Nothobranchius furzeri: one gene and its partner. The protein of the gene in region 2 interacts with the protein of the main gene of each other region in a pairwise test. Links are inferred from orthologs where the notes say so. Each region holds a gene or a part of one and is shown on either strand. Other genes may lie near its edges.

Region 1 (3,822 bases), on a different chromosome or scaffold from region 2:
GTCCGAGCGCTGAAAAGGCACGACTCCCACGAGACTTCAGGCTGTACCTGGGCACGGTTAATAGTCTCTGGTCAGCTGACCTAGGGGAACGCACCGGGACATGTCGGTGGATGACGTCACAAAGGTGTTTAGGTGCCCCTGAGTTTAACGCCTTAAACACAAACAGGAAGACATTAAACCTGATGCGATAGGAGACAGGGAGCCGATGCAAGGCACGTGGGACTGGTGTAATATGTTCAGACCTCCTGGTAGATGTTAACAACCGAGCAGCCGAGTTCTGAGCCGCCTGGAGGCGTGCTATTGGCGCTTGCCTAAGCCCCGCATATAGCGAGTTGTGATAATCCAGCCTGCAGGTACCAAAGGCACGGATCACAGTCGGGCAGATAAATAACAGTTTTTCTATATCGGCCACTGGTCAAAATTATTTTTAAAAGCCGATAAAAAATAATAATCTGGCACCTGTGTGGCCAGCTGCTGCCGCTACTAGACTAAGAAAGGACCCGAAGAACCCCAACACAGTTTTTTTTAATGTTTTGATTTTGTTTTACATTTGAAGAGATTTATTGACTTATTTAATTTATTTTGCACACAGTGAGTGTTTGGTTGTCTTTCACAATCAACGTGTAGGAGCCATTTGTGTTGTTTTCATTTTCTTTCTGCATACCTGAGAGGAGGCTTGGCCTCATTTGATTGGTCGATTGATTGTGGAAGCACCAGCCTACTTAAGCCAACACAGATGAGACTCAGGTGTTGCTGTGATGGGACAAACAGTGTTTTACTGTGTGGCGAGGACTGTGGCTGTGTGTAACGGGCTCTGCGGACTGTCACTGGAGCAAGTAACGCATTCATTTGAAACCCTTCAACTGCTGTGAACGGATCATGGACATTTTGGAACAAGAAGACAAATAATAAACATCATCAGAAATAAACACAAGCTGCAATTCTTTTAAACACACGTAAAGACCACCACCCGCAGCAGTAACCAGTAGTGCCGGTGTATGGGGCATTGGTATTACACAATGTGCTGCTAAAAGGTATATTTGTATCGGTCTTAATAATTAGATTTAGATATCGGCCACCGGCAACGAAATCCTTTAAAAATCGGTATCGGCCTTAAAAAGCCCATATCGGTCAGCCTCTAGTTGAAACTAAATCACAGGATTGGCAGAAGGTTTGGAAGTCTGTGTTCATCATGTGTTAATAAACGAACGGCATTTAAAGGAGACATAACATGAAAAACTCACTTTTATCCATTAACACGGTGTGTTTCACATTTTAAGTGTCTAAGTGAGCAAAAAGGCTTATATTATTCACTAGAGTTGCTATTTAGATATTTAATAATTAAGTTTTGGGCATATTTGTCCACCCGTTCAGTTTTTCAAATTACCTATTACGTCAGAAAATTATGCCGTCATGATAACTACCAAATATGGTCATGGCCCTCAGCTAAACACAGAGCCAATCCGCCATTTTTTCTTCTCGCCAAGATTTTTGTAGTCCTATTGGAAAAATGCAGAATGTCTGGTTATTTTGGCCACACAGCTCAGAACTGTTCCTCGTTTTAAGGAAGGGTTGTGTGGCAGCACTTAAAACCCAGAAGCTGATGACACTACTGCAAAAAAATAAAAAATAAAATAAATAAATACATAAAAACAGAAGAAAAAAGTAGTGTGTGTGTGTGTGCACGCGCCTGCTCGCTTGTCCCTCAGTCGGCTGTGACGGGTGTGTGTGTGTGTGTGTGTGTGTGTGTGTGTGTGTGTGTGTGTGTGTGTGTGTGTGTGTGAGACTACAGACAAATGCATGAGAGAGTTAGCAGCCTTGAAACAGCCTGATGAACAACTCTCCCCACATGTTTTAAAAATGCTAATATAATGTTTCTGCTATGCTAAATAATGATTTCTCTATAGAACTACAAAGTCCAACTGGGGGAGGAGAGTACAGGTCTGCACTGTGGAGGGGGGGCGGAGCTTACAGCTCCTTCTCCAGATTTAAAGAGACAGTACCCAAAAACGGCTCGTTCTCAAGACTCTCCTCAGAACGGGTAGATGAGGGTCTGTGGAGCAACGATGAGGAAATCAGACCAAAGTACTGCAGCTCGACTGTATTTAGACCCCAACTGAAGGATTTAGATGTAAAAAGGAATAAATTAAAAGCATGTTATGTCTCCTTTAAAGAAATTAGCGTTAAGAGCTGTCAATGCGATAAGACTTTATTGTCAACAAGAATATTTTATTGAAGAGGTTTTCTGTTCAACATCAGACTCCTTAAAAACCCAAAGCTTACTACATCTGCGTATTCACGAAGCATAACACATCCCAGCCTGGTGTTTTTAACCAGGGCACAGCCAACATGGGATGATGCATCATCTGGGAAATTAAATATGAATAATTCCACATCCCCCCGTAACGCGCTCGCGTACCACTAGGGGTACGTTTACCCCTGGTTGGGAATAACTGGACTAGCGCAACAGCAAAACCAGATCAGATCATCGGACAAGGACCTGTGTGGGTTCTGACCTTTCTCTTGGTGTTACAGAAGATGACGGCCTGAGTGATGGTCAGCGTGTCGTAGAGGTCACACAGAGTATCAAACTTCCATTCCTCCCTCTCCACGGCAACAAAGAACTGCTTGATGCCCTCCAGGGTCAGCTCATCACTGGGGGAAGGACAGCGGACTTTACCAACGTCGGCTCCATTCTGAACCAACTCCTGGACCCGACGAGTTTCTTGACTCACCGTTTGACCAGAATGCGGATCGGGTCAGTCATGAACTTGTTGGTCATCTCCAGAATCTCGTGCGGCAGCGTGGCGCTGATCAGGACCACCTGTGTGGCCGGGGGCAGGTACCGGTACACGTCGTAAATCTGCTCCTTGAAGCCTGAAAGGCACAAACGGACACGTGCTGAGGGACTCCTGGCGACCAGCACCAGGTGGATCCAAGTCCATCCAGGCGGTCCACCTGCTCAGCCTCACCTTTGTTCAGCATCTCATCTGCTTCATCCAGAACCAGCATCTTGATGGCCCGGGTTCTCAGACTCCGGCGCCGAATCATATCTGCGAAGAGACAAGCGGTCAGATATCAACTCTGACATCATCGACCAATCAGCCAGGAGCAATTCAGCAAAACAGATCACATGGTCATGACGCAATGAGGTGCCCAGTTCTGATCGGACCGGGTCTAAATGAACTTCTGATAGGGATGCACCGATGGATCGGTATTTGATCGTAATTGGCCGATAGCGCCCCTATCGGTTTTGATCGGAATTTTCAAAATAGATCAAAGCAATCCGATCAGGTAGAGTTGTCACGGTAACCAGTGTAGCGGTAAACCCCGGTAAAAAAAAAAGGTTGACAATAATAATAACAGTCTTGTTTTTAAAAAAAACTATTATTATCTCAATGGGTTTACCGTGGCTGCGGTGTAGGCGCGGTGACCCTTACCAGCCACCGTATCATCGGCTGAAGTTGCCGGCGGCACAGACGCACGCTTTGTTTACAAAGAAACTTTCTTGAAGCTAAAGCTGAAATAATGGTCAAAGGAGGAGACGGCAGCGCTCAGGAGGACATTTATTATCCCTCAAAGAAGACAAAGTCGGAAGTACGGGCATATTTTAGATATTTGAAGAATGCCGAGGGAGTTTATGGAAGACGGCTATCCTGTTTGCAGCACGTGCAGAAAAAGTGTCTGTGAAAGGCAGCAACGCTTCAAATCTCATGACACATCTGCGTGACCATCACCCACAACTCTACAGTCAACGCAAGGCAAGCTAACGTTAGCGTTTTAGCTCAAATGTGTGATCCGAGGATTTGGGTTGAGGGAGAA
Region 2 (4,490 bases):
TTAATGTCTATAGGATTTTTAAATTTAGAGGTTTTAGTTCTGATGACTCAGGCTCACCTTTGCCCCGATCCCACTCTCTAACATGTGGAACTCCTGGTTTGGTGTCCCTCCTCTCCTGGATCTCCACTTCCACCTTCCTAAGAATGCTGGCCTCTGGTGGTACATCTGGCTGAGGGGTGGGTCCGACAGCTTCGTCCTCTTCATCCTCTCCTGAAACACAGAACCAGTTTTCACCAACAACTCTTGATCATGAACCTGCAGCACTAAATCTGACCTCAACAGCAGATGAACTGGATGTGGATGCTTACCTGGATTCTCCTCTTCCTTCTCGTTCTCGTCCTCCTCAGTGCCATCCAGCTTTCCCTTTTTCTTCTTCCTCTGCCTCACCTTGGCTAGTCGAGCCTGAAGGATGGCCTTCCTCTTGTCCTTGAGTCGTTCTCTCTTAGTCCGCTGCTCTGTGGTCTGAAGGGAGGGAAGGAAGAGAGGAATTATTCACCTAATTTAGGATTACTTAATGCATTGGTTTTGAGAAGTGTACAATAATTATGGCAGTAGAGAAAACCTCGACAAGCATTTGAAGTCTGGTCCAGTTTATGAAGAACAATAAGAAAAAAGGTTGTTTCTGAATTTAAGAACTTTACAAACCAAAACACTTTGCTCATTTTGTAACCTTTTCTTACATACCATCTAATCAAGTTTCCTGTTGCTATTAACTCATTCACTGCCAATGACGACTAAAGTCGTCATTTGCATTTTTTTACTGTTTGAGAATCAGAACGAGCCCCCGCGCTGAGAGAACAAACATCTCAGCCCTGAAGCCGATCACGTCACGTGATCAGGAAGCAACACATCCATGTGTTTGGAGATCGTTTTGGGCCGTTCCTGTAAAAAAAGTGAGGCGCGAACCGGAAAAGCGTCTGCCGATCACAATTCGACAACGGATTATGAAAGAACGGATAACGCTGAAAACACGCGGATTCTTCCTGATGTAAGAGGAGAGTCTCCGCTTTGTTTTGGTTGTTTTGGCATCGACATCATGCTAGCGTGCAACGTTCTGTGACTCTTAAAAAAAAAAAACAGTAAAAATGGTGAGAAACGCTGGCAGCGAAGGCCGTTAGTGATCAGGAAACGGCTGGCAGTGAATGAGTTCAACACCAACACACACCTGGTCTCTGAGCATGTCCAGAGTTTCCCTCTGCTTTCTGCGCTGCTCTTCATCATGGGCGAAGGCAAAGTAGCCCACACCAAGGTCACGGGCCTCTAAAATGGAGGGAGAAAGACTCTTGTTTCTGACAAAAATAAAGGCTTCAAAACGTTTTGATCTGATCCCATCAGATACTGACCTTGTGCTCTAATATTCTCGTAGTGAACAGGTCCAACGGGCCTCTTCATTGCCTCCTCTTCCTCCCTCTCCCACTCCCGCCTCTGCAGCTCTCTGCGCATGTCCTCGGAGAGTAAGGTGTTCTCAGAAGTGATCGCTCTACAGGAAACAGTCATAAGAATGTGTTTTATCCTGTTAAAGACATTTAAAAGACAAAATCTAAAACTATATGGAAAAGGCTGAATAAAAGTCGTAAACTGATGTTTTTTATTAACACTCGCTCCAACTTGACATGTTGTTTTACCAAAAAAAAGTTAAGCAAGTACAACAACTGGAGAAAATAACCTTTTCCTCTTTTATCTGATCAGGGCTTTTTATTTACATTATGGATAAGTGATTTTTATACACTTCAGTTTACCAACAACTTAGATTCCTTTAGGTTGGGTCATTTCAGAGTATTTTAAACTAACATCCAGTGAAATACTGTAAAAACAGAAACAGCTGCAGAAATTTCTGATTTACTGAAATGTTTACCCTGTTCCTTTAATGTCTTGGTCCAGTTTCTGAAAACTGGGCAGGTCTTTCTTCATGCATCTTCGAGATCGTCCCAAAGCGTCCACAAAATCAACCCTACAGAGAAACATCAGGTTTATCTGGAATGCAAGACTTTCAGTTTAAACATCATTAACCTTGCTGACATGACGCTAAGTTAATCAATAGAATTTATTTGATCAGTTTGTTGTGTCCAAAGTAAACTCATGAATTTAATCTATTACCATTCCTCATCTGGGTTCTGAGGAGGAGGAATAGGGGACAGGCTCTCTCTTTCCTCATCTTCTTGCTCCCTCTTCTTCGGTGCAAATGTTTCTTTTTGTTTGTCAATAATCTTCTGGGTGAAGTCAACAAGGTAAAGGGCTTCTGTCTCTTCATCTGGAGATTAAAAACACATGATTCACACATTGCAAGTGGAACTTGCTCATATAAATATAAAGGAGATTAACTCCACCAACCTGGAAAGTCTCCTTTAGTCATCTGATCATAGAGTCTGGCCTTCTCCTCCAACTTGCGCCTGTTGTGAGACAGATAGGATCAGTCATAAGTTTAGATCTGCTGAATATCCTGGCTGTGACTCTGAACTCACCTGGCTGTGTCGAGGCTGATCTGCTCCTCTGTCAGCTGCTCTGCGTCTTTCGCAGCTCTTGCTGACACGCCAGCATTTTGTTTGCTCCAGATATTTGGTTTCTGTCAGGGTAAAAAAAAGGACTGAGACTTATAAACCTTTCCATGTCACTTAAACGTCCTCTACAGTAAAACCTAAAACTGTACCTTATTGGCTGTGGATTTAGCTCGGTGTCCAGCATCAGAGCTTTCTTGGCCAAGTTTCTCCCGTTTGAACTGCTCCTGTTTTCTGTAGAGCTCCGCTTTCAGATCTACTAACTGTAATAAACAAAAGTAATGAAGTTATGTGGGTGTTTATTTTTCCCTATGCATATTGTACCAGCTGTAAATCGTCGTAGCTAGCAACATTTTCGCAGTAAACACTAGCCAGTTAATCGTTTTGTTTATTTTTTTTTTGGATGAAAATCACACATAAGTTTATAAATCCTTAAATCAGGAAACTCACCGATGACGCAGCTACGTCCAATGTTTTCTTCTTTTTATCCATGTTGATTGTTTATATTTTTAATCATTATCTTTCAGTTATGGATGTGCTAGCCTATTTTACCCACTACGCTATTAGCCGTCTGACTTCTTCATTGGTGTTTATCCATTCTAGTGGGTTGTATTACCGCCACCTTCTGGTGGACAACTGAATCTGCAGAAACGTCTGACAAGGCGCTCCTGAAGTTCTGATTAATCTTACTTGTGGCTGGTTTCCTTTTCTGTTGATTAGAAATACCTTACTCGATAGGAAGAGATTGTTTTTGAGAATAAAAAGCCGCGTGTGTGTGTGTGTGTGTGTGTGTGTGTGTGTGTGTGTGTGTGTGTGTGTGAAACTAAATGTAGAACACAAGTCTGGAGTGTGAATGTTTATAATTAAATAAAAAGCACAGTTAAAAAGCCCACTACCAAAACTAATTTGATCAAATTATCTCCTAAATGTATGAAAAATAGGGAAAAATGTCAAGTTAAGATGTGCAGCAGCGGACAGTGTCCCTACATGAAACAGCTATGGTAATTATTAGTGAAACAATGAGTAAACATGTTGTAAATTCTGGCATTTATGGAAGGATTTGTGTATTCAATAACTTGTATTTATAGTTTACACAAATTTGTATGTTTAGGTGTGCATTATAAATTTCACTTGTCTTTGGGATTAGTAGGACTTCATAAACACGAGGAAAAGAAAAATAATTAAAATACAAAGTGCTTTTTGTAATTAATGAAAATAAAAATGTTGGTGCAATGATGAAAAATGCCACCAATGTTAATGATCACTTGTTTCATCTCAGATGGTGAAAAGAAGTCAATTGTTCAGATTAATTACTCAGCGGAGTTTAAAATGAGTATTATGTAGTCACTCATCAGATCTGCAGCAATAGCTTCTATTTAAATAGAAAAAGTAATTTAAAGTCTGGTGTTTTGAAGTAAACAAATACATTTAAATGAGTCCCAATGTTACTCAATATATAAATTCATTAGTGCTTTCACTCAGGATTTAACAGATCCATGTTTAATGGCTGATGTGAGTGAAAAAAAAAGATCATTTCCATTCAAAAAAATACAGCTTTAACAGTTTCAGAAATATGCAGTGTTGTCCTCTATATTAGGTAAACATCTATATAGACATTTATAAAGGACTTATTTACATTCTATGATTGAGAAGATGCTTGCTAGCCGATGCCCATCCATATAATTAGATGTTTAAGAGTTTGGTGAATTGGACACCAGGTACAAAAGGTAAAGGCAACAAAAACACTACCTACATCTCAGTAACCAGATCACACACTGCTCTGATGTCCATCTTTATTTTTACTGAAGCTTTAAACTGAGTGTGAGTGCTGACCTGCATTCTTCAGTTTAAATGAGGTTTTCTCAGGGACCTGGCAAAACAGGTTTCAACGTACATTTTCCCTGCGGGAAACACATCGACGTAAAAACTAATAATTCTATGACCAACAAACTAACTGAAAATGTCACAGGAATAACATTCTCTGAATAAAAAGCA

Evidence for each region.
Region 1: the proteins of ccdc174 (region 2) and eif4a3 interact in binary tests that used the Homo sapiens proteins (3 or more experiments, as listed by UniProt). The two-hybrid records come from large-scale screens. The link is inferred for Nothobranchius furzeri from reciprocal best matches to the Homo sapiens genes CCDC174 and EIF4A3.

What each region holds. Positions count from the first base shown.
Region 1 is NC_091746.1:29,295,384-29,299,205, forward strand, and holds part of eif4a3 (eukaryotic initiation factor 4A-III), read right to left. Parts: intron 3,054-3,822; coding exon 2,973-3,053; intron 2,878-2,972; coding exon 2,736-2,877; intron 2,656-2,735; coding exon 2,517-2,655; intron 1-2,516. UniProt on the Homo sapiens protein: ATP-dependent RNA helicase. Involved in pre-mRNA splicing as component of the spliceosome. Core component of the splicing-dependent multiprotein exon junction complex (EJC) deposited at splice junctions on mRNAs.
Region 2 is NC_091743.1:48,526,692-48,531,181, forward strand, and holds the start of ccdc174 (coiled-coil domain-containing protein 174), read right to left. Parts: upstream 3,091-4,490; 5' UTR 2,988-3,090; coding exon 2,946-2,987; intron 2,759-2,945; coding exon 2,648-2,758; intron 2,564-2,647; coding exon 2,463-2,563; intron 2,391-2,462; coding exon 2,332-2,390; intron 2,252-2,331; coding exon 2,098-2,251; intron 1,952-2,097; coding exon 1,856-1,951; intron 1,481-1,855; coding exon 1,344-1,480; intron 1,261-1,343; coding exon 1,166-1,260; intron 463-1,165; coding exon 309-462; intron 211-308; coding exon 58-210; intron 1-57. UniProt on the Homo sapiens protein: Probably involved in neuronal development.